Arabidopsis thaliana: one gene and its partners. The protein of the gene in region 3 interacts with the protein of the main gene of each other region in a pairwise test. Each region holds a gene or a part of one and is shown on either strand. Other genes may lie near its edges.

Evidence for each region.
Region 1: the proteins of DREB19 (region 3) and bZIP52 interact in a two-hybrid assay, tested with the Arabidopsis thaliana proteins (one large-scale study listed by BioGRID).
Region 2: the proteins of DREB19 (region 3) and ZFP3 interact in a two-hybrid assay, tested with the Arabidopsis thaliana proteins (one large-scale study listed by BioGRID).

What each region holds. Positions count from the first base shown.
Region 1 is NC_003070.9:2,101,094-2,109,306, reverse strand, and holds bZIP52 (basic leucine-zipper 52), read right to left. Parts: upstream 4,260-8,213; 5' UTR 4,075-4,259; coding exon 3,614-4,074; intron 3,534-3,613; coding exon 3,401-3,533; coding exon of another isoform or gene 3,299-3,400; intron 3,290-3,298; coding exon 3,205-3,289; intron 3,124-3,204; coding exon 2,789-3,123; 3' UTR 2,558-2,788; downstream 1-2,557. Other genes in the region: Plsp2A (Peptidase S24/S26A/S26B/S26C family protein), read right to left, coding at 1-475; AT1G06840 (Leucine-rich repeat protein kinase family protein), read left to right, coding at 6,099-6,210, 6,349-6,499, 6,583-6,654, 6,752-6,823, 6,898-7,041, 7,158-7,229, 7,383-7,454, 7,572-7,646 and 2 more.
Region 2 is NC_003076.8:8,683,103-8,690,972, reverse strand, and holds ZFP3 (zinc finger protein 3), read right to left. Parts: upstream 3,786-7,870; 5' UTR 3,450-3,785; coding exon 2,742-3,449; 3' UTR 2,558-2,741; downstream 1-2,557. UniProt on the Arabidopsis thaliana protein: Acts as a negative regulator of abscisic acid (ABA) signaling during germination and early seedling development. Involved in the regulation of vegetative development and fertility. Modulates red light signaling in seedling photomorphogenesis.
Region 3 is NC_003071.7:16,064,660-16,070,329, reverse strand, and holds DREB19 (Integrase-type DNA-binding superfamily protein), read left to right. Parts: upstream 1-1,714; 5' UTR 1,715-1,938; coding exon of another isoform or gene 1,939-1,989; intron 1,990-2,038; 5' UTR 2,039-2,148; coding exon 2,149-2,883; 3' UTR 2,884-2,934; downstream 2,935-5,670. Other genes in the region: PRA1.B4 (prenylated RAB acceptor 1.B4), read left to right, coding at 1-490; AT2G38350 (uncharacterized protein), read right to left, coding at 1,022-1,261, 1,939-1,989; AT2G38330 (MATE efflux family protein), read right to left, coding at 3,012-3,072, 3,161-3,282, 3,369-3,464, 3,546-3,662, 3,751-3,822, 3,963-4,126, 4,205-4,305, 4,404-4,500 and 5 more. UniProt on the Arabidopsis thaliana protein: Transcriptional activator that binds specifically to the DNA sequence 5'-[AG]CCGAC-3'. Binding to the C-repeat/DRE element mediates abscisic acid-inducible transcription. Involved in the regulation of plant development and tolerance to abiotic stresses.

The sequences.
Region 1 (8,213 bases), on a different chromosome or scaffold from region 3:
TAGGATCACAGACCTTTCCTCCTCTATCAACCTCAGCAATATCCGTTGATAACGTCGCCGGAATACTACAAGGCATCCACTTGGAACCCCTAAGGAACGGGATGACAGAAGAAGTCTTAAAGGGAGAGATCCCGAGACCGGTCATACCCGAAAACTGTGGAGCTCCAGTCAAATTCATGAGAGAGATCATACCCAAGACAAGTGGACTCTTGCAGCCTTCTTCGAGGATTTCCCTCGCAATGGTGCTATACATTGATGAAGCTGGTCGAGCACGAGGGCCTGAGCTTGGACCCCATGTGTTGGATCCGGGAGATTTATCAACAATATCTGGTATCTGATTGTGGCCGCAGAACCTGGGACGAACCCATGTTTCGAAGCATGATCTAACGTCGCCGGTACCGACACGAGTCCCGGCGGATGAAGCAATGCTCCTAGCAACATAGCTGGAGTAGGTGAAGGTAACCCTAATCGCCATAAATGCAGATTTTGAAGAAAGTAAGGGTTTCTTAAGGAAGACCTAGAAAGGAATAAGGAATTGGAAGAATCGATCTGCCGGAAAGAGAAACGGAGAGCTTGTTCCGCCGGCGAGATCGAGTAATTGTTTCAGGCGGGGAAGCGAAGAAGCGAAGAAGATGGAGATCTCCCAGAGGAGAGGAGAAGGTTTTGGTCGAAAGCAGAGAGAGTCTTCTTCTTCTTGTTGTTGGTTGAGTTGAGTCATCAATTACATTTAGGGCCAAAAATGGGCCTTTAAATATACAATTTCTATTCATAATATCCCATAATTAAATACGCAAGTATCAAAAATGGCTATAACATTGACAAAAATAAATTAGAATTATCTGATAAAAAGATGGTGGAGTGGGTATTTCACAAAATTACAATTGTGAATTTTGTTGTACTGAGCAAAATTGTTTAATACATTTTTAGATGTACAATTAATAAAAGCACACGATAAATTTCATCGTTTTTTTTTCAATCTTTTGCTCGTAAGAACATAATTTTTTAAGCCGATTTGAATTTTAAAGTAAAGACATTAGCACAACCTATGTTTCTTGTCAGTTGTCACATATTAACATTTGCTAAAGATATTTTGGTGTTTATAAATCAACTATAAGAAAATAATATATAACCTAGATATATGAAATAATGAATCATGTATAGACCATTTTGATATCCCTATAATACATGGTAGACATGTAGTTATGAACTAGAGACGTAACAAGGTAAAGGCTCTGGGACCGGGCGCAGGAGTGTGTATGTGGAAAACTATAAAGAAAGTGAATGACCGCAGCACATACGTCATCTCTCTCTTAAGGTTCGCCCGAAGCTTCGTTGATATTTCTTAATTAATCAGTATTATCTTTAAATAATTAGTCGTTAACTTAGTTGGGTTGAGTTTGACCACAACCTAATTAACAAAATGGATTCTGTTTCGTTTTTTTTTCTTTTAGCCAAACACTAATCTCTCGTTGTCTTCCCAAATGCTTCTATTTAATCAAATATTTATATTGTGCTCAAGATACATCGAGGCTTCATACGGATTAGAATTTGTCTATCGGCATGTTTTGTTTTGTTTTTTCATTTTTTGGCATAGTTTTGTGGGGGCAATTTACTTGTTGAACCCTAGTTTACATGTATTCTCTTGAATTTCTCACAATTTTCTCAAATTTCGATTTCATAGAAAGTTAGAAACAAACACTCACAATTCACAAATTCCCACTGGCAAAAGATGAAAAAGCCCAAAAAATAAAATTACGTATCGCCATCAAATAGGGCCTATTGGTTTAAATGTGGTTTTATTGTATATCAGATATTAAAACAAAACAATTGTCATCAAAGCACCAGTGGTCTAGTGGTAGAATAGTACCCTGCCACGGTACAGACCCGGGTTCGATTCCCGGCTGGTGCATGAGCTGTGAAGAAATTGGCTTTAGCATTGGTTGGGTCCAATGCATTCTACTGAATATCAGTTGATATTGCCCCATTCTGAGCTCTCTCCTTTTTTTTTTGGAAGTTATTTTGCGAAATAGACCGAGCTTCTCCAAGGACGTCCACAGTCCAGAGAGTAGATGTTTCGTCTGATAACATGGTAACAATGTTCTAAACTCTCCACGTTCTTATTGTTATGCATGTTCTATTGTTCTTGCTAGCTCAGTTTGGAAAGGTTGGAACTTTTGTTGGTTCTCTCCAACAATGGGTCTTTGCTTAAAGGTTGAATCGTGTTAGATGTCTTTCAAAGGTCGAATATTTTCGTTAACAGTCTTACAGAGTCTCAAAAACTAATCTCTCAATGCTTCGTCTCTCATTTCAACTCCGACTCCAAGTTTGGGAAATTTTGTCTCATGGAGAAGTCCGGTTGGGAGAAGTTGTCTCAAAACTCTAATGGGATGACGGATGTGAGGGTGTCTTGGAGAAGAAGCTACTGAGGAACTGCCTTGGTGTTGTCGTATCAAAATCATTGATCCCAAAATCAAACTATTAACCCAATTGGAATGAACTTATTAAACATCTCCATCTCCTAGTAAAATAAAACAAAACGTAGCAAACATCATTGTATACAAAAGAAAAATGAAATTTATTAGTCTCCTTTGTTCCTTGAAGAACAAACAATGGGAATAGCAAACAACGAAACTCACGACACATAACCAACACAAATGTATACGTACGTCCTTTCTTGCACAATGGCACCTCAAAAAAAAGAAAGAATAAATAATCAAAAGTGAATCAAATGAATTGAAAAAAAAAAAAACCTATTAACAGAAAAATGAGCCTCATCATAATCTTGTCGTCAATAGGCAGAGCTACTCTCACTAGCAGAGAGAGAAGGTCCTTCAGATTTGACTAAGCTTGAGCTATTGCTACTAATCTCCAGCCCTTGCATTCGGCCGTTCTGTAGAAAGTCCGACACGCTTTGAGAATTGGACATCTCCATAGGATTGAAACTAGAATGCATCTGCATATCATGGAGGTTCATTGAGCCATGATATGGTGGAATAGCCATGAAAGTTGAGGAAGAATACTGAATCTGCTGCATTCCCATATCAAACGAATCTGAATTACCAGAGATTTCTCCTGTCTCCATCTTCATCCTTTCAACTTCTTTCCTCAACGCTTCGTTTAAAGCTGTAACATCAAAAAGCAAATATTGAAGAAATGCACCAAAATGCATACAAAGAAATTAGCTTCTTTTTTTTTTGTGCTTACCATTACGAAGCTGAGCTTGTTGTTCCATTGCTTGCAACCTAAGTTTCAGCTCTGTGTTTTCGTTTGCTAGTCCATTTGTGTCTCTCTGGATCAATCAAAACAACATTGAAATCAAGATCTGTCTATGTATGTAAAACAGAGGAAAGAACTTTCCTATTCTGTTGGGATCAAACGAGGAATCGCCGAATATGGAAACCTGGTAGAGAGTAAGCTGAGCAGAGAGAGTGGTAGCTTCGGTTTGAAGAGATTGAACTTTGCGCTCAAGTTCTTGAATGTATCGAGCTTTTCTCTCTTTGGATCGAGCTGCAGATTGTCGATTCGCTAGAATCCTGTAATCAAATCCCTAATTTCATTGCAATTCTTCAATTCTGTGGAAAGAGAAACAAATTTGAAGAAGAAGAAGAAGGACCTTTTGGCGCGTTTGGGATCGATGTTCCAAAGCTCAGAGAGTTTTTCAGGAGGCATAGCTTTCTTAGCGTCCATGATATCACCGGCATACATGGCGCATCCAGCGTCAACGGAATTGCTGTGACGGTGGCGAGGACGAGAGGAAGGAGGAGGAGGAGGATTAGCAGCGCCGGAAACGGAGTTGGAGGAGAGGGAAGGATTTTGAAAGGGATTGGGATTAGAGGTGAGGCTATCGACATCGATGAAAGAAGAGAAGAGATCGTCGTCGGAGGGAAGGTCGTCGGAGGAAGGTGGTGCGGCGGAGGAGAGGGGATCCATGAACATGAACATGGACATATCGTCGGAGCGAGATCGGCGGTGGAAGGAAGAAGATGGAATCGGATCGGCATTAGGAATTGGATCGGAGGAGGGGATAATAGTGGCGCCGGGCTTTGGGACTGGTGGAGGATCTGATTTCTCCATTTTTTTAAGAGAATCTGAGAGATGAATGCTTTGGTTGTGTGAATAATTATGATTATTATTCGCAATTGAGAACAATGTCAATGGAGATAATGATGGAGATGAAGAAGACGAAGCTCTTTCTCTCTCTCTCTCTCTCTCTCTCTCTCTATCAAATGAAATGAAATGAAGAGCGTAGGAGAGAAACTCGACTCTGTGAGGAGAGAGAAGTGACGTCACTAACTATAAAATTGCGAAATTGAGTTGATTTATTAATAATTAAAAAGAAAACTAGTTGATGAAAAGTAAAAGGCACATTGGCACGTGAACCATCGCAGCATCTTGTCTCCCTCCCTTTTTTTTTTATTTTTTTTTCCTTTTTCTTTGTATTTTATTTAATTATTCGATTTCATGATTTAAATTTGTTTAACTTTAAATCTTCTTTGTAGCATTCATTACAAGATTCTGTAGTTGCTTCAACGAAATTTATTAATTTAAGCTGTTATGGCATTACATCTCCCCACGTCTGAGTGTATATTTTTGTATCTTTGAGTCAAAATTTTAACAAGTAAAAAATAGGCAGAAAGCCTTGTATGAACTGAGAGTCTGAGAGAATGTTTTGTGGGATAATAAGTTGGTAACTTGGTATGGAACTATCTATGGATTGGGAAACAAGTAAAATTCACTTATAGTGAAAAATACTTATTGGTTGGATCTAAATCATACGGAGGCCTTAATTATCAGGCCCATACAAGAAGACAAGTATTGTTTTGTTTTAAGAAATCCTCGAGCATATAATGCGCCTGTAGTGGACAGGAGGATGTTTTGGGCCTTCTCTTAAATTGGCAATTGGGCATCACTTTGTTTACCGGTCAAAATAATTAAAAAGATGGTCGTATTGATCGCTTTAAGTAATAAGTTTTTTAGTTAAGTCTCTCTAAATTGTCTTAAACGCAAGTAGTGGACCGGCATCATTTAATAGTGATTCAAATTAAAAACCTAATGATGCTTACTTTTACCAGCTAAAGTTTCTTTTGTCTTTTTTTTTTTTGTTTTATTATTATTTATCAACATACTTGTGAATTGTGATTCTCCCTTTTTTTATATATAAATAATGAACATACTTAAGATATAGTTTCTCCCATTTATTGTCACCTAACGGGTATTTTTTAAAACCAAATTCTGTTGGAAAGTTCTTCTCTAAACATAAATAATATATAGCTCATGTCTATGCTTTTTAATAGTGCCCATTGTATTTCTTTTCTTATTTGAGTAATTTATTCCAGCTGTTTCTTTTTTTTCCCTCTCGTAATGATACGACATAGTGACATACATCTTCTGTTTCTTCTTTTTTTGTTCAAGAAAATCATAATGACTACAGGTAATTAATCACACTTCTACAAATCAGTTGATAATCAGCACCATTTTCCAATAAAAGTCGATACTTTGGAAAATTTCGTGACTTTTAGTATCGTGGGGGCCAAAATGCACATAAAGATACGATATCGATGACCAAATTGCCATATACTATATGATTCCAATATACCAATGATTGCTACTATTTGCTAATGGTATACGTTTTTAAATTTTAATTAATACATAAAAAAAAAATCAAGGTGGGATAAAAAGGTAACTTTATTGACAATATTTGGAAATTCATCGCACCTGGCAAGAGATTTACCTACTGTCATTAAAAAAGGATTAAAAAAACGACAAAAAGGTCAAAGACAGGTCAGACAAGGAATCATTAAACAAAGGAAGAAAAATAGCAAGTAGAATGGTTTTGACGGAAGAAGGTGGTGAAGTTATGGCGGCGGCGCAACGGAAACTTATGATGACGCTCTTCCGTCGGTCTCATCCATTACCTGAAATAGTCAAACTTAGAAAATGTCGTATTATCACTCTTCAATGCTCCCACCCAATACCAACTACTTTCCTCTTTCTTTGTCTTGTGTTTCTTACTTGGTCATGGCCTTTTCCTTCTAAACTCTCTCTCTCTCGAGATTTCGTTTTTTCCTTGGGTCTCCTCTGTTTCCTCCTCTCTCGATATGTTTTCGACCCATCATGTCTCTCGTCTCCTCATACCTCTGCTCTTCTTCTTCCTCTTCTGTTGCTTTTCTTCTACTTTTGCTCAAGACGACATCACCAATCCCGTTGAAGGTTTCTTTTTTGTTGTTGTTGTTGTTAAAAGGCTTTGTCTTTGGTGTTAGATCTTCAGACAATTTGTGTCTGTGACAATGGGTTTTCTTAGCTTTCGACTGATTTGGTACTGATCATTGATGTTTTTTTTGGTTTTAGTGAGGGCTTTGCGAGTGATCAAAGAAAGTTTGAACGATCCTGTTCATAGATTGAGAAATTGGAAGCATGGAGACCCGTGCAATTCGAATTGGACTGGTGTTGTCTGCTTCAACTCCACTCTTGATGATGGTTATCTTCATGTCAGCGAATTGTATTGTCTTCTTCACTCTTGCTTTTTTCTTTTATTTGGTCTTCCTTGAGATTTGTTTGAGTTAGCTTTGTTTATACTTGTAGGCAATTGTTCAGTATGAATCTCTCAGGGAACTTGTCTCCGGAGCTTGGCCGGTTGTCTCGTCTTACTATCCTGTACGTGTTTTTAACACGATATGTTGCTTGATCTTTTGTCATACTCAATGGTGAATAACTTTCTTTTTGTATTGTACAACTTCTTCTCTAATGCCAGGAGTTTCATGTGGAATAAGATCACCGGAAGTATACCAAAGGAAATTGGGAATATCAAGTCCTTAGAACTCTTGTTAGTCCAGGACTTTGTTGTTTACTTCCCTGCTTTATTTGCTTTGGGATTGGCTGCTAACTTCACTTTTCCAGGCTCCTGAATGGAAATCTGTTAAATGGAAACTTACCAGAGGAGCTAGGGTTTCTTCCAAACTTGGACAGAATACAGATTGATGAAAACCGTATATCAGGACCACTTCCCAAATCTTTTGCAAACTTAAACAAAACGAAGCACTTGTGAGTTCTTTAATCTGGTGTCGAGTTGTACTTGGCTGTTTCAATATGGTGATTCCTTCTCCCCTTGAATATGTTACATTTATTGCTTTTTTTTGGTCAATCTTATCTTTTTCCAGTCACATGAACAATAATTCTATTAGCGGGCAGATACCACCAGAGCTTGGAAGCCTACCATCCATTGTTCACATGTGAGTTGGTAGCAGTAGCAGGCTTAAATGATTTTACTTGAAAAATGCTATGTTTTTTACCTAAACTCAGTTTTCATGTCTAGAACATGCTACACACGCTTTACCTATTCAATGTTTATGAACATTTACTTTTTTTTTTCTTTTTTCTTACAGCCTTCTTGATAACAACAATTTATCAGGCTATCTTCCCCCTGAGTTATCAAACATGCCGCGTTTACTTATCCTGTAAGTTTATGTCACAGTTTCTGTTGATTTCCCTGGTCCTGTCACCATAAGGACTGGTTACCCATGTGTTTCTTCTTTTCTTTTTTTTGACCTTTTTCCTCATGTTTATTTTGGCAGACAATTAGATAACAATCACTTTGACGGGACTACGATTCCACAATCTTATGGAAACATGTCTAAACTTTTGAAGATGTAAGTGATAGTTTCATTATGTATCTGAAATCACTGATGTGTGAGGCTGGAAGGGCTGTCATCTTCTATTAATGCATTCAACAATTCAATACGAAAGTCATGCATTGGATTTGAATTAACCTGTGGGAATAGTAATCAGCCATATTTGAGCTAATTAGGATAGTGCATTCTAAATGTAGAGATACTGGTTGTCGTTTTCTATTTTTTCCTGATCTTTTTGGGCATAAGATACATGTGTATGCTATGCTAACTTATGCATATTTGTCGTATGCCCACGGGCAGGAGTCTTAGGAACTGCAGCTTGCAAGGGCCAGTGCCTGATCTTAGCAGCATACCGAACCTTGGTTATTTGTAAGTCTTATAACTTATCTAGACGCTTCCTTATATAGTCGTGCAAGCCTTAGCGAAGGCGAATTAACCTCATCTATTTCTGGTTGTCGGACATGAATTCCAGGGACCTAAGTCAAAATCAGTTAAATGGATCTATACCTGCAGGGAAGCTTTCTGATAGTATCACAACCATGTAAACTTTTAGCGCTTTTCATAATTCTGGCCTTTGATTTAATC
Region 2 (7,870 bases), on a different chromosome or scaffold from region 3:
AAAGAAGAGAAAAGGAAATTGAACTTTATTATTTTTGGAGATATCTAGAATATATTATTGGAGTTATCTTATGATATTAAGAATTATCTAATCATTAGGGTAAGGTTAAAGCTTTGTTATATAAGGAGGTATCAATGTTGTGATACAACTTATGAGATTTGAGAGAGATTGAGACTTTAGGTTTTGAGAGAGTTTCTAAAGATAATAAAAGAGAGTTATTATTTTATACTTGTGTTCTTAATCTTTCTTGAATACTAAATGATTAACTATATTTTCTTCCAAATAGAGTCTCCAAAAACTCTCTTAGTCCATAATTTTTCCACCTTGCACAATGAAAGGGATCCATATATTGATATAGAGTAGGTCTTGGTCATCACACTTTTCTAGAGTACCAATTTTTTTTCTTCTTCAAACCTCTTTTCCTTTGATTATCCTGCTGAAAAGAACTTCAATGTTCACCAGAGTACCAATTTTTTTTTATAATATAATTTAACATTACATTAAAAAAAAATGTTTACCGGAGAAGTCTATCTTCAGTATCTCGCTCCTTTTCTAAGATCACATATAACATATTGAGTTGTGGACGACCTAATTCAAAACCGACATTCTCTTCGTTATTTCTTTGTTGTTTCTTCGACTATGTACATTGTTTTCATTATGATTCGAGCATTAGAGATTTTTGAAAAGATAATTTTATTTCTTTTTTAGCATATATATATGTAATTAATCGTGGTGTGGACATTGTGGGTGTTTAGCTGTTTACTTCCCAAAATCGGATGTTTTTGTCAAAGCTATTATTGAACCAACGAACATATAATGTCCTCCTCGACGACAGGCATCTTCGTACACACACAACTATACAAAGGACTAAAATTAACCGGCAACATATATAAATATTAGATGCAAAATATTATTAACTGATACCTTTTTTAACAATGAAATGAAATATACGAGTTCAATTAAATTCAAGTGGTGGTGATACAACAACAACACTAACATAAACAATTATTTACGCGTTTAAAGTTAGTCAAAACATGTAACATAACATCTTAATTTATAATGAGCAAAAAACTCTCTCCATTCAATATAATAAATCATCCGAAAAAATAATATCTTACTTTGATATGTAAATGAAGGGTCTATAACGGTCATATCCCACTAACAAAGAACGATTGAGCTGCGTTACGTGATTTTACCGGCAACTCCAAAAATCTGCAAATTCATACCTCCGAAAAATTAGAAATTTAGTAATTTAAGAATCCATTGGACCATCCTTCACTGGACCTTCAAAACTGTCGGAGAATGTCGTTTTCGGCTTAGTCATTTTCAGCTATGGGGCTTGTGGCCCAAGATTAGAGACGCTTTGCTCTATATATGTAACCAATAATAAAATCCTATTTCATATTTGGTGAGGCTTAACTTATATATATATAAGTCATGTCTTCAGGCAAGTGTAAGTAGGACATGTTTTGGGGCCAAACTGATGAAGATAAATTGAAGGGCTCATCAGGTTGGTTACATTATATATGCATGGTCTGCATGGTACCATGTGTGCTTGTCTAACTTTGTTTTTCTTTGATTTATTTATGGAACTGTGTCACTTTTGGTTCACTATCTGACACTTTTTCTTCTTGATGGATACAAACAAATATTTCTTTCCTCGAATAAATCATGGTTACTGATGAAAAAAAAAGAAAGATATGACAATCACAGACCCTTGTTTAATTCAAATATGTAAGATATGTTTAAGTTTAAACCGGTTTAGGGTTAATTCTAGAGCTAAACAAGCTCAATATCGTGGTTAAGCAGCTTGTTAAGGGAGAGTGTGTGTGTTCTCATTTTTGGGAGTACTTTATTAAAACAATTACCTTCTCTGTTTCAAGAGCCAAGATTGAGCTCGATAGATGATGATGATTTTTTTTTTTATTCAATTCTCTTGTAACTCTCAAAGATCATAGTGAGTGTTCATTTATAGTTTGCTTCGGTTTCTACTTACGATCTTGGCTTGTTCTTGATCTGATTGGTTTGTCGATTAGCTAGTCGAGAGAAGTTCTTGGTTATTTGGTGAATACTGTTTCGACCATTTGTCGAAAACACGCGTGAAGTGATGATAGCAACATCTATGACAAGTTTTGTCTTTTAATGTTTTCTTACATATGGAGCAATGTGATGCCCTTCTAATAATCTCTAACAAAGAGAACCCCATTGGATGCTTTATTAGTTTATTTAACGTTACATGTATTTTGGTATATACTACCAAAGAATTGTATTTGATATTGTGTTTAATTTTTCTTCTAGTACTCTTTTGCTTTTAGTGTCACAATCATCCTACACAGCAACTGTCTTCATAGTTTATTTCTATCTGTTTTGTTCTGTTTAAATGTCTTATTAGCAACTTTTAAACAAATAGAATGATTGTTCTAACTTTTAGGTAACCTAACTTTGAATTATAATATTAATTCCTTTTTCTTGTGACTCTGAAATCAAATCTTCCCACAGATCTCAATATTCACTTTTCTTCTCTTTTTTCCTTTACTCTATACTTTATACGGTTGTTGGATGTCTACTTGAAATCCATTAATGTATAGTTAATAGTTTACAAATCTCAGACTAAAGTAGATATGTGAAAAAGATGTACATTAGATTATCTTTACTAGAAAAAAATATACACAAAATAGTACTAACAATCACATGAAAAAACAGTAAAAAGACACTAAATTCAAGAATCAAGAAAAAGAATCTCAAAGCTTGAGGGACAAGTCAAGTTTCTGCTGCTCTTCATGATGACTTGTACTTAACAACAATCCTTTGTCTCCGTGCCATTGTTCAAGAGTCGGTGACCCTTCTAGAACCCGTCCTGTGTTGCTTGGGCTATCGATGTTATTGGACCGTGAATTTACTGAAGGAGCCATCATCATCATCTGATGATGATGATGATGAAAATTATCCATTGAGGGAAATTTACCTATGGCTGGTTGTTGATCAAATGGAAGTCTTGACCAGTTGATCTGACCATAGTGACCACCAAACCCGTTATAAGAACTTAGCTTGTGGCTTATCGAATGCGCTTGGATCCCTAAAGACCTATGGTTGTTGTACTGTCCGTGGAAAGGAAGTGGAGAGAAACCGTAAGGATGTCCAAAAGCTGAGGCTGACGCTGCCATACGTTGTCCTCTCTTCGCCAACGTTCTCTCTCTCTTGTGTGCGTTTTGGTGACCACCAAGTGCTTGTGAGCTATAGAAAGTTCTTTGACAATAGTTGCATGAGAAAAGCTTTTGTTCTGTGGATGTTGTAGATTCGTTAACGATACTCGTTGTGTCGTCTATGCAGTCGATGAGATTGAGTTCGTGACTAGAATTATGAACGTCTCTTTCTTCGTCTTCGATGCTCTGGTTTAGAGAATCTTGATATGGAAAAGCAGTGGATGAGGAAACTATTGAAGCGTCCATGAGAGCTAAAAAGGGATAGATTTTTTCAGGAGATGATTTTTTTCTTTCTCTTTCTCTGTCTCTTTCTATCAATAATAGCTATGAGAAGAGGTTTATATCAGTGAATGGGAGCAGAAGTAGATGGTATTAGAAAGGAATAGACAAAGGAAACAAAGACCCTACACTAGAACATTTTCTTAGGGTTTTGTAATAAGTGGACCAAAGTACTATGATGAGAGCGATAGGTAGGTTTGGTTTGCTGTCACACCCTTCTCACAAAACACTTTAAAGCTAGTTGATTGGAACTCCACCATCTAAATACCTCTATCTATATATATGACTCTTACCCTTTTTGGCTGCTTCCTCCTTCAATAGTCCAACAAATACATTAAGTGTGTAGAATTTAAATTTCGCTTTGATTCCGGTTCAGATTTATTTGGGTTTCTAGATTTTCAGTTTATGAATGACCAAATATCTAAGTAAACCAAATGAGTACTATACCATTGGTAATCCACAATCCATAATAATTTTTTTTTTGTAGTGCATGTTAAGGAATCCTTTAATATTTTAAGTATGAACATTTTCTAAAAGAAGTTAAGGGATCGAAAAGACAATGGAAAACGAAGCAGTTTCTCAAAATAGTAAGTACATCATGATGAAATGACAGAAGAGAAAGATGACAATAAAAATTGAAAAGGAAGAGTACTGTTCATGGACCATCCAAATTTGTTCAGGTCTGTTTATGTCTACTTTTGTATAACTCCACGAGGTAAGTGACCATTTCTGTCTCCTTTGGCTTCTCGTGTGGTCCTCTCCTTCATCTATTCTTTCTTTTGTCTTCTATTGAGTCAAACCAAAGCTCAAACTAATCACAAAGTAAAAGAACTGGTTATTCGAACTTTGTAATAATAGTTAAGTAAGTATTTCGGGTAAGAATATAGATCGATGATCTTGACAAAGCACCTGGTTAGAACAACTTGGAAACCACTCGTACGTTCATTATTATATTTATCGATTTTACTTTGTATCTTAGTGAGAAATTGTAGACCATGTATATGACTTAAAGAATATTTCGTCTTTATGATGGATCAACCTTTCTCTTGTTGTGTAATCTTAAAGGAAATGATATTTGAAACTTCCACACGCTCTTCTACTTTATCATCTAAAGAGTTTAGTGGATTTGTCAATATGAATTTTGGTTTCCCACTTAATTTCACATCATGACATACAACTAGGTTGCATGACAAAAGTCACTTTCTTCAACCAATTAATACTTTTCTTTTGGAAGCCACATCGGCAAGATCAAACCCACTTAAGCTTTTGATAACAATCTAAACCACATTTCCAAAGTTTTAGTTTAAATTTATTTAGCTAAATTTGAATTACTTTAGCTTGTAATGAAAGAGAAAAGATCTAATGGTTTAAAGTTATGTATATTTGTCGTATGCCAATTGTGACCTAGTTGATGGGTCCAACGTTACATATGGCCGACACAAAAATGGGAAAAAGCTAATTAAGAGTTTTCAGTTTCTAATTAATGGCTAATTATTTTCATAAGAAAACTAATTTTCCTTTAATAAATGTATATGTGAAGTTCTTTCTGAGTTATATGACATCTCCATTTAAGTATACCTTCGTTCTTTGTTTCATCAATCCTCAATACTCAATAGATTGATCATAAAATGTTAGATTAGTGAGTAATGTGAAATCGTGAATTGGGAAATTAAAGTGTATTATGGACTATGGTAGCTTAATGAGTATAACAATTTACCACGTTGTATTTATATGATATAGGTCACATAGTCATCAATCATAGTCAAAAGATACAGATGAGAACATTGGATCTTACTTTAAACAGATGGTGACATGTAGCTATTCATAATTTTCCCTGTATGTAGAGAGATTTGATTCGTCTTTCAAATCTCTTTGTTTGACAAAGCTTTTGTGTATTTTTTAATCTGTCAATGCTATCGGTAAGTAATTAAGTATCATATAGTAAAAGTATTAACCACTAACCGGGTTCATCTAAGTGTTTTTGGGCCTTATTATAATCTAATAGTTAACATGATTAGCTAAATTTATTCAATTCAATAAAAGTTTTCAAAGTGAACGAAAGTTACAAATCTGCAGTGATTATTTTCTAAAAGTGGAATAATTTTATTGGTAAAAAATTACTAAAAACTAATTAACCCAAAATTGACATATTATCAATTGCAGACATAACATTCATCCACTATGGGTTTACTTACCACGTGGAGTTATGCACACTAGTAACCTCTTTGGAATTTTATCCAAAAAAAAAAAAACTCATTGGAATTATTTGATGGCAGATTTATTTCGATGAGAAATGATTGATTGTTTTTAACTGTGGTGTAGCAGTGAATCTGTCATTTGAATTGATATATAGTTTACTTGTTGTTGGTTTCCCACATAAGGTTGTGTATTACATCATTACTAGATCATAACCCGTGCTGTATAGCACGGACATTAATATTGTGTATAAACTAAATTGTATACTTTATTTGAATTACATAAGAAATAGTATAATATAAAAGTGTTGTCATAATATTTTTCAATGTTTTTACTATTTGGATATAATGCTGCATTGGATTGAATTTGTTTAAAAATATTATTTTTATAATAAATACAACATATATAATTTTAAGTAAATGTGTAAAATTTGTATACAAGTTGTTCTAGTAAGAAACATGTTTCCTTTGTATTAAAAGATCTAATTTTTGGCCTAACTTAAAATTAGTTTTTGTATAATGTTTTGGTTATATTTGTGAACCTAATTGGGCCCTATATTAGATTATCTTTGATAGGGCTCACGAAAAAACAGACCCGATAACCAATCCATTATCCGAACCAAAAAACCGGGTTAGAGCGGGTTAGAATTTTAGGAAATTTCCTTATTAGGTAGAGTTTTAGTAAACCCGTGGATATCCGATTGGTCCAGAAATTACCCTTTATCCAAAGAGGGTATTCAAAAACCCAAACATTAATTTAATATCCAAAATATTAATTATATTTAATCGTAATATAATCTAATTATCTAAAATTATAATTATAAATCTAAATATGTCAATTAATTTTGGACCTAAATATCCAAAACAACTAAACTATTCAAAAATTATGTGTTATGTTTGTCAAAATTTAGTAAAATATATTCAAATATAATTAAATTTATTAAAACTTAACAAATCTAAAAGTTTTTTTTGTTTGGAGACCCACTATCTACATACAAAATACCCGTTTCAATTTTTTTGGGTATTTTTAGGGCCTGAAACTTTTTATCCAAACTGACGCAAACCCAAATGGACCCGACCCGAACCAGAACCAAATATTTAGAATTATTCTATTGGGTAGTAAATCATATACCCATTAATCCCAAACCCGAACGGGTTCTACCCGAACGGGTTCTACCCGAACTTGAATAGGTTACTCATATGCCCAGCCCCATTCTCTGATTTAATTATCTAAAAACTCCCAAAAAAACATATGTTTTGCTGTCTACGTTTTATTCGAAAAGTTTTACATCCTCTTCTGCCAAAATCATTTCATGGGACATCCTAAAACCCTTGGAAGAATGATTCCATGAATGAAGAAATCCTAATTTGAATATACCAAGAGGTCTTGAAAGGTTTTAAGTTTTTGATAGGTGTGTATGTGAGAAGGTACAAACATCGTGATGGTAATTTGCTTATTTATAATTTTAACTTGCAGTATACCGCATGTAAGCTTATATTTTAGTTAAACTAAAAACTTTTATTGTAAAGATGATTATAAATATACGATATTATTTTATTTGATTTTAAATGTATAATAAACTACGAGTTGTATATGTTTTGTTGATATTATTTATATTGTTTAGTGTTTAAAATTATACACTTGTATTTTGATTGTTAATTTTAGAGTTTCACCTGTAGTATACCATCTTGTATTAATATCGATCTAAACCCGTCAATTCTAGGATTTTCCAGCTTGTATTAAAAATTGAATCACATCATACACATAAAAAAATCTAATATGTTATTAATTATTGTAGTATATAAGATTATAAATTTTCAAAACAATATATATGAAATTGAATATAAATATTCATATTATGACCCAGTACTCAGTAGAAAGTTTTCTTAAATCTATTTTTGACCCGTTATAATATTGTTTCATGTATTGAATAGTTTATATTCGTTTTTAAAAATTTAAATTATGGCATATGCGAAAAAATTCTAATTATTTTTTTATAGCGATGATATTATTTTTCGCAAAAATAGAATCATATAAAGATGAGAAGTGAACTATAATAATTAATAAAAAAATTAATATGATAATTTAGATATCAAATCCAATTTGTTGATTTTAATTGGTTACTTTTTTGGAAATTAATAATGTATTTCGTTTTTAATTAAGTTTAATTAATTAAATTAGTATTTGACTTT
Region 3 (5,670 bases):
TGAGCTCGCGGATCGTTCCGCATTATCCAAACCTGAGTCGATCTCCGACGCTGCTGTTCGTATCCGCAAGAATTACTCGTATTTCAAGGTTAATTACCTCACCGTCGCTACAGCGATCGTCGGATTCTCTCTCGTCACTCATCCTTTCTCTCTCGTCTTCCTCCTCTGTCTCCTCGCGTCGTGGCTCTTCCTCTACTTGTTCCGTCCCACGGATCAGCCGATCGTTCTATTCGGTCGTACATTCTCCGATCGTGAGACGTTAGGGTGTTTGATTTTGTTCAGTATCTTTGTGATCTTCCTCACCGATGTTGGATCTGTTCTGGTTTCGGCTATGATGATTGGTGTTGCGTTGATCTGTGCTCATGGTGCTTTTAGAGCTCCGGAAGATCTTTTCCTTGATGAGCAAGAGCCTGCTGCTACCGGATTCCTCTCTTTCCTCGGTGGTGCCGCCTCTTCAGCCGCGCCTGCTGTTATCGCCGCTCGCGTGTAAATGCGATTCCGATCTACCATTCCCTCGCCTGGGTAAATCTTTCTATATGATTCATTTGTTGAATTTGATACTTAGATTTTGTTTTTTTAATCTGAAAACAATAAACGTGAAAATGTTGTGGATCTGGCCTAATTTTGGTTCTTGTTCATGGGCAATAGCTATAGATGAAATATATATCTTTGCATGATTTTGATTTGATGAAGTTTTACTACCGTTTTGTGTTAATCTTTAGCCTTTTTTAATTTACAAGTGTTGTTTTGGAAGATATGGATTTATTTCATGATCAAATTCAAAATGCAATGGATCTGTTTATTAGAACTTGTAGCCATCTTTTGATTTGTTATGTGACTACATTGCACTGCGTGTATACAATCAAAAGAGTCAAATTTGGATGCATGTGCATGCAAGATCCATCCAAATTTCACCAGTTTTCAAAAGCACCCATCATAAGACAGACCTGGATCAGAGTCGTAGGATTTAACGAAAGGAAATTACTTCCTATTGAGGATGAGCAGCAGAACAATATCCACATTACGCATTTACGCTACTTGACTTGACTTGAAATCGTGGGTCGGAGCAAATGCGATGCACAAATAATTCGATGAGCAGCTTTAGTATTGGGCTTCGTACTCGAGTCCGGCCCAGTATAAGCTCATTTACTTCTTTTCGAGTCCAGTTCGGCAAAGGCCCAATGTCTATGAAATATCGAATTGGTGGCGTATACCCTAAGCCAACAAGGAAGCTTCGTTTTAAAAATGATTTGTTACTTACCTAAAATTAATAGTATTGGGTGACAATCCACCTTACATTCTTATCTTTTTAAGGGTTTTAGCTTACGGTATAAGTCACCAATTTGACATCTTCCATCAACGAAAATTAGTAAATTACAAAAAAGTACAAAGTCTTAGTCGCAAATATCTCTATAACCAAAAGCAAAGCAATATCCTAAGTTGTATTGACCTCGGAAACTAGAATCTCCTTGAACTTGGGATTTGTCAATGCCAGTGACTTAGAAATTGTTCTTTGCGAAGGCAAAAGCTACAGTTTGTTAGTTGGCGCGCAATTTGAGCTGGGAAGAGTCCAATGAGAGTACCAAAAGTCTCGGACTAAACGTCTTCAAAAAAGTAACCATGGAATAATAATTTATTTTTATAGTATAGTTTGAAACAAAGAAAAAAAGAAACACGTTTGTCAGAAAAGTAATAAGTGGAAGATGTCAAATTGCTGGCTTGCACCGTAAGCCAAAAAAACACTGAAAAAGTAAAATTTCAATTTAAGGTGGATTGGTGCCCAAGACTTACAATATCTATTTCTTCACGATATTTACGATAATTTTCAAAGTCTTAGCCGCAAAGAAATCTATAATGACCAAAACATATTGAAAAACAAATCCTAGCATACCAGAATCTGCCTAAACTGGGAAGTCACCACGTGTCTTGTAGCCGTACATTTAATTGTCGTAAGCACCACGCGTGTTCTCTTAGACGGTATCTAGACATGTGTTCCCACCTTAATTTCTGAAGGCTCTGGTGAATTCTAGGACAATCTATGCAGACAAAAATTTATAGTTTATTGTTTGGTTTTATGTTCGAAATTTAATAGTGATTGTACTGCGCTCCGTAATATTTTCTACAGTTTGTACGTGTTGTGTTTTTCCAATGGAAAAGGAAGATAACGGATCGAAACAGAGCTCCTCTGCTTCTGTTGTATCCTCGAGAAGACGAAGAAGAGTGGTTGAGCCAGTGGAAGCGACGTTACAGAGATGGGAGGAAGAAGGATTGGCGAGAGCTCGTAGGGTTCAAGCCAAAGGTTCGAAGAAAGGTTGTATGAGAGGAAAAGGTGGACCAGAGAATCCTGTTTGTCGGTTTAGAGGTGTTCGACAAAGGGTTTGGGGGAAATGGGTTGCTGAGATACGTGAACCAGTGAGTCACCGTGGTGCAAACTCTAGTCGTAGTAAACGGCTTTGGCTTGGCACGTTTGCTACTGCAGCTGAAGCTGCTTTGGCTTACGACAGAGCTGCTAGTGTCATGTACGGACCCTATGCCAGGTTAAATTTCCCGGAAGATTTGGGTGGGGGAAGGAAGAAGGACGAGGAGGCGGAAAGTTCGGGAGGCTATTGGTTGGAAACTAACAAAGCCGGTAATGGCGTGATTGAAACGGAAGGTGGAAAAGACTATGTAGTCTACAATGAAGACGCTATTGAGCTTGGCCATGACAAGACTCAGAATCCTATGACTGATAATGAAATAGTGAACCCAGCAGTGAAATCAGAGGAAGGTTACAGCTATGATCGATTCAAATTGGATAACGGATTGTTGTATAATGAACCTCAAAGCTCCAGTTATCACCAGGGAGGTGGATTCGATTCATATTTTGAGTATTTCAGATTCTAGCTTAGGATTTATGCTGCATCAATATACTATGACTATGAGACTATGTTTTTTACATTGTTAGTTTACTCCATTTTCATTTATCTTAACTTAAGAGTCACGCATCATACCGCAAAAAACAGTGATCCGCTTCATTCTGGCTTCTCTGGAGCAGACCATAGCATTTTCCATGGACCGGTTCTTGTCCCCAATCTGAAACATGACGCAGTATCCTTTTAAGAAAAATTTCGGATGGGTTGAAAACTTGAAACTAGAACGGTCTTTTTAATTAATTGTTTACCTCCAGGCTCCAGCAACCAACCGCAACGCCATGAAGAGGAACAAACCAGTCCAGATCCCGGCAAGGCCAAACGTTGGTGCAGCCACAAGCATGAACAAGGAAGATATGAATCCGACAATCACCTGTTCCAAAATGAGAAATAATCAACTTTTTCCAGGTGAAGAAAAGGGAGAATCAAACGACCAATTGATGAAGAAGGAAAAGGGACCATAGAATAAGCGGCAAATCCGAAGTCAGAGACACCATAATAGAGCCCATCCAAAACAAACGCTAGAGCATTCACCGGTTGAGATCCAGCCACAAACTGCATCCAGCCAACATTATTTAGATATTGTCTGAGACTACCCTTTTCAAACTCTTTCTGGATTAAAAGATAAGATCTTACTAAGGTCCCTGACAAAGCAATCTTTAAAACTTCTGAATCCGTTGTGAATAAGCTTGAAAATGGTTCGAAAGTGATGAACAATACAGCAGCCAAACCAGTTCCAGTTGCTAAACCTACCTACTTAAAAGATTGCAATTGTACATTATAACATCGAATATATAGGGTAGGATATAAACTAGGGATGTAATGAATTATGAATACGAACTTGAAGGACTCCGAAGAGAACTTCCCGGGCTTGTTTGTATTCTCCTTGAGAGTAAGTGGTGGCAAGAAGACTCTGAAAATAGAGGTAGAAAATATAAGTGAAAATCTTCTCCCCAAAAGGTAATCTTGGATCATGCTAATGGGATTCTTATATCACAGTAAATCTTGGTAGAGATTGTCTGTTTCGAAGATGATTTGCAAAAGATATTAGACCTGTGCAGCAATGGCTAAAGCATCGGTGAGTAAAGAGACAGCCAACCAGATTTCCAAGACGATTTGATGGCCAGCCATTTGAGTGGGTCCATTTTGAGCTGCTAACGAAGTAGCTAATGTGAATGGCACAAGCAAAGCCACCGTTCTACCAATGAGAAGCCCACCTAAGCATGAATCAATACATTTCATATAGTAGCCTTTCTGAATCGTTTAAAGAAAACTTGAAAATTTTAAGGAATTACCTGATTTGAGGTACTGGTTGGCTCTTCCCACTTTGATTTGAGGAGAGAGCAAAACTACATTCTCATTCAACTTCCATAGAAGAATAAATGCAATCAAGTATCTGAAGAAACGTTGACAAGTGAGAAACATAAGAAGCCACAAATTAAGATAGATATGCTTTACTAGAAAACGAGTCTATTACCACATTTTTGGACATACTCAGAAATCACAGTAGCAGCCGCAGCACCAGAGATACCAAAACCAAGGACAAATATCAGGATTGGATCCAATACCGCATTAAGTACATTCCCCGCAACTGTTGATATAGAGTTCACCATATTAGAAACATGTATGTGAAACTGCTAATGCATATATACGGTCTAGTGAGCTAATGCGCATATACTATTTATTTCCTCAGATCCATTCATGCATAAATACAAAAAAAATAGATGATTGTGCAATACTTGCCAACGGCATATAGAGGCGTTGTTGTGTCCTTGAAACCTCGAAAAGCTCCTTGCGCAGCCAATGCAACAACAATTGGTGGTGCACCATACGCTCGAAGTCTGAGGAACTGCTCTGCTGGTATCCGCATTGGTGAATCCTAAAAAAATTACAAACCGAGAAAGAAGAGCGATCAGCTATACAAAACTTCAAAGATAACAGCTTATATAAAAGAAGTTCAACGTGAGCTTAGAGACATTACAAAAGGTATAGCCATGACATCCATCAAGAAATCAGACCCGAGAGATAGCGCAATGGCCTCTGCAATACCAACTCCAGCAGCAAGAACTAATGAAGTTGAAACCGAAGGCAGCACTTTCTTGCCTTTAACACCAACAAATAAACAACAGATTCAAAGTAAAGAAACAATCTTTGAAGAAAACAATAAAAACATTTTTCATTATAAGCTTTAAGGAAAGTAAAATACTTGTTTCTATAGAATCATTATCATCCTTAGCAGCAATTGCTTGCTCCTCCGCAACAAACGATGTTGTGACATTTAGTAAAGGAACATTGAAGAGCTTCGACACCAAATTGAATACAGAAACTGACACTCCTACTGCAGCTAATTCCGCAGAACCTGTCACATTACACATATGAATGTTAAAAATGTGAACTTTCGAAAAATGTGAAATTGTTGAAACCAAGCAAAAAGTAAGTATTTACCAATATGGCCAACGAAGGCAGTGTCGACAAGAGATGTTATAGGATCAGCAGCTAAAGCTAATGCAGCAGGTAATGCAATTGACATTATCTCCATTCCAATTTTACCAATCCTAAACCCAAAAAAATCAAATACATTAGAAACCATTCAAAGTTGAATACAGAAGAAGCATTATTAGGCTAAGGTACGAACCCAGGATCCGGTTTGTGATCATGATCCGGTTTATTCTGTGAAGTCAGAGGATTCTGCTGCTTTTCCGGTCGCTGAGAAGAAGTGGAGACGGCTGGAGATTCATCGCGAGGAGATGATTTACAGACG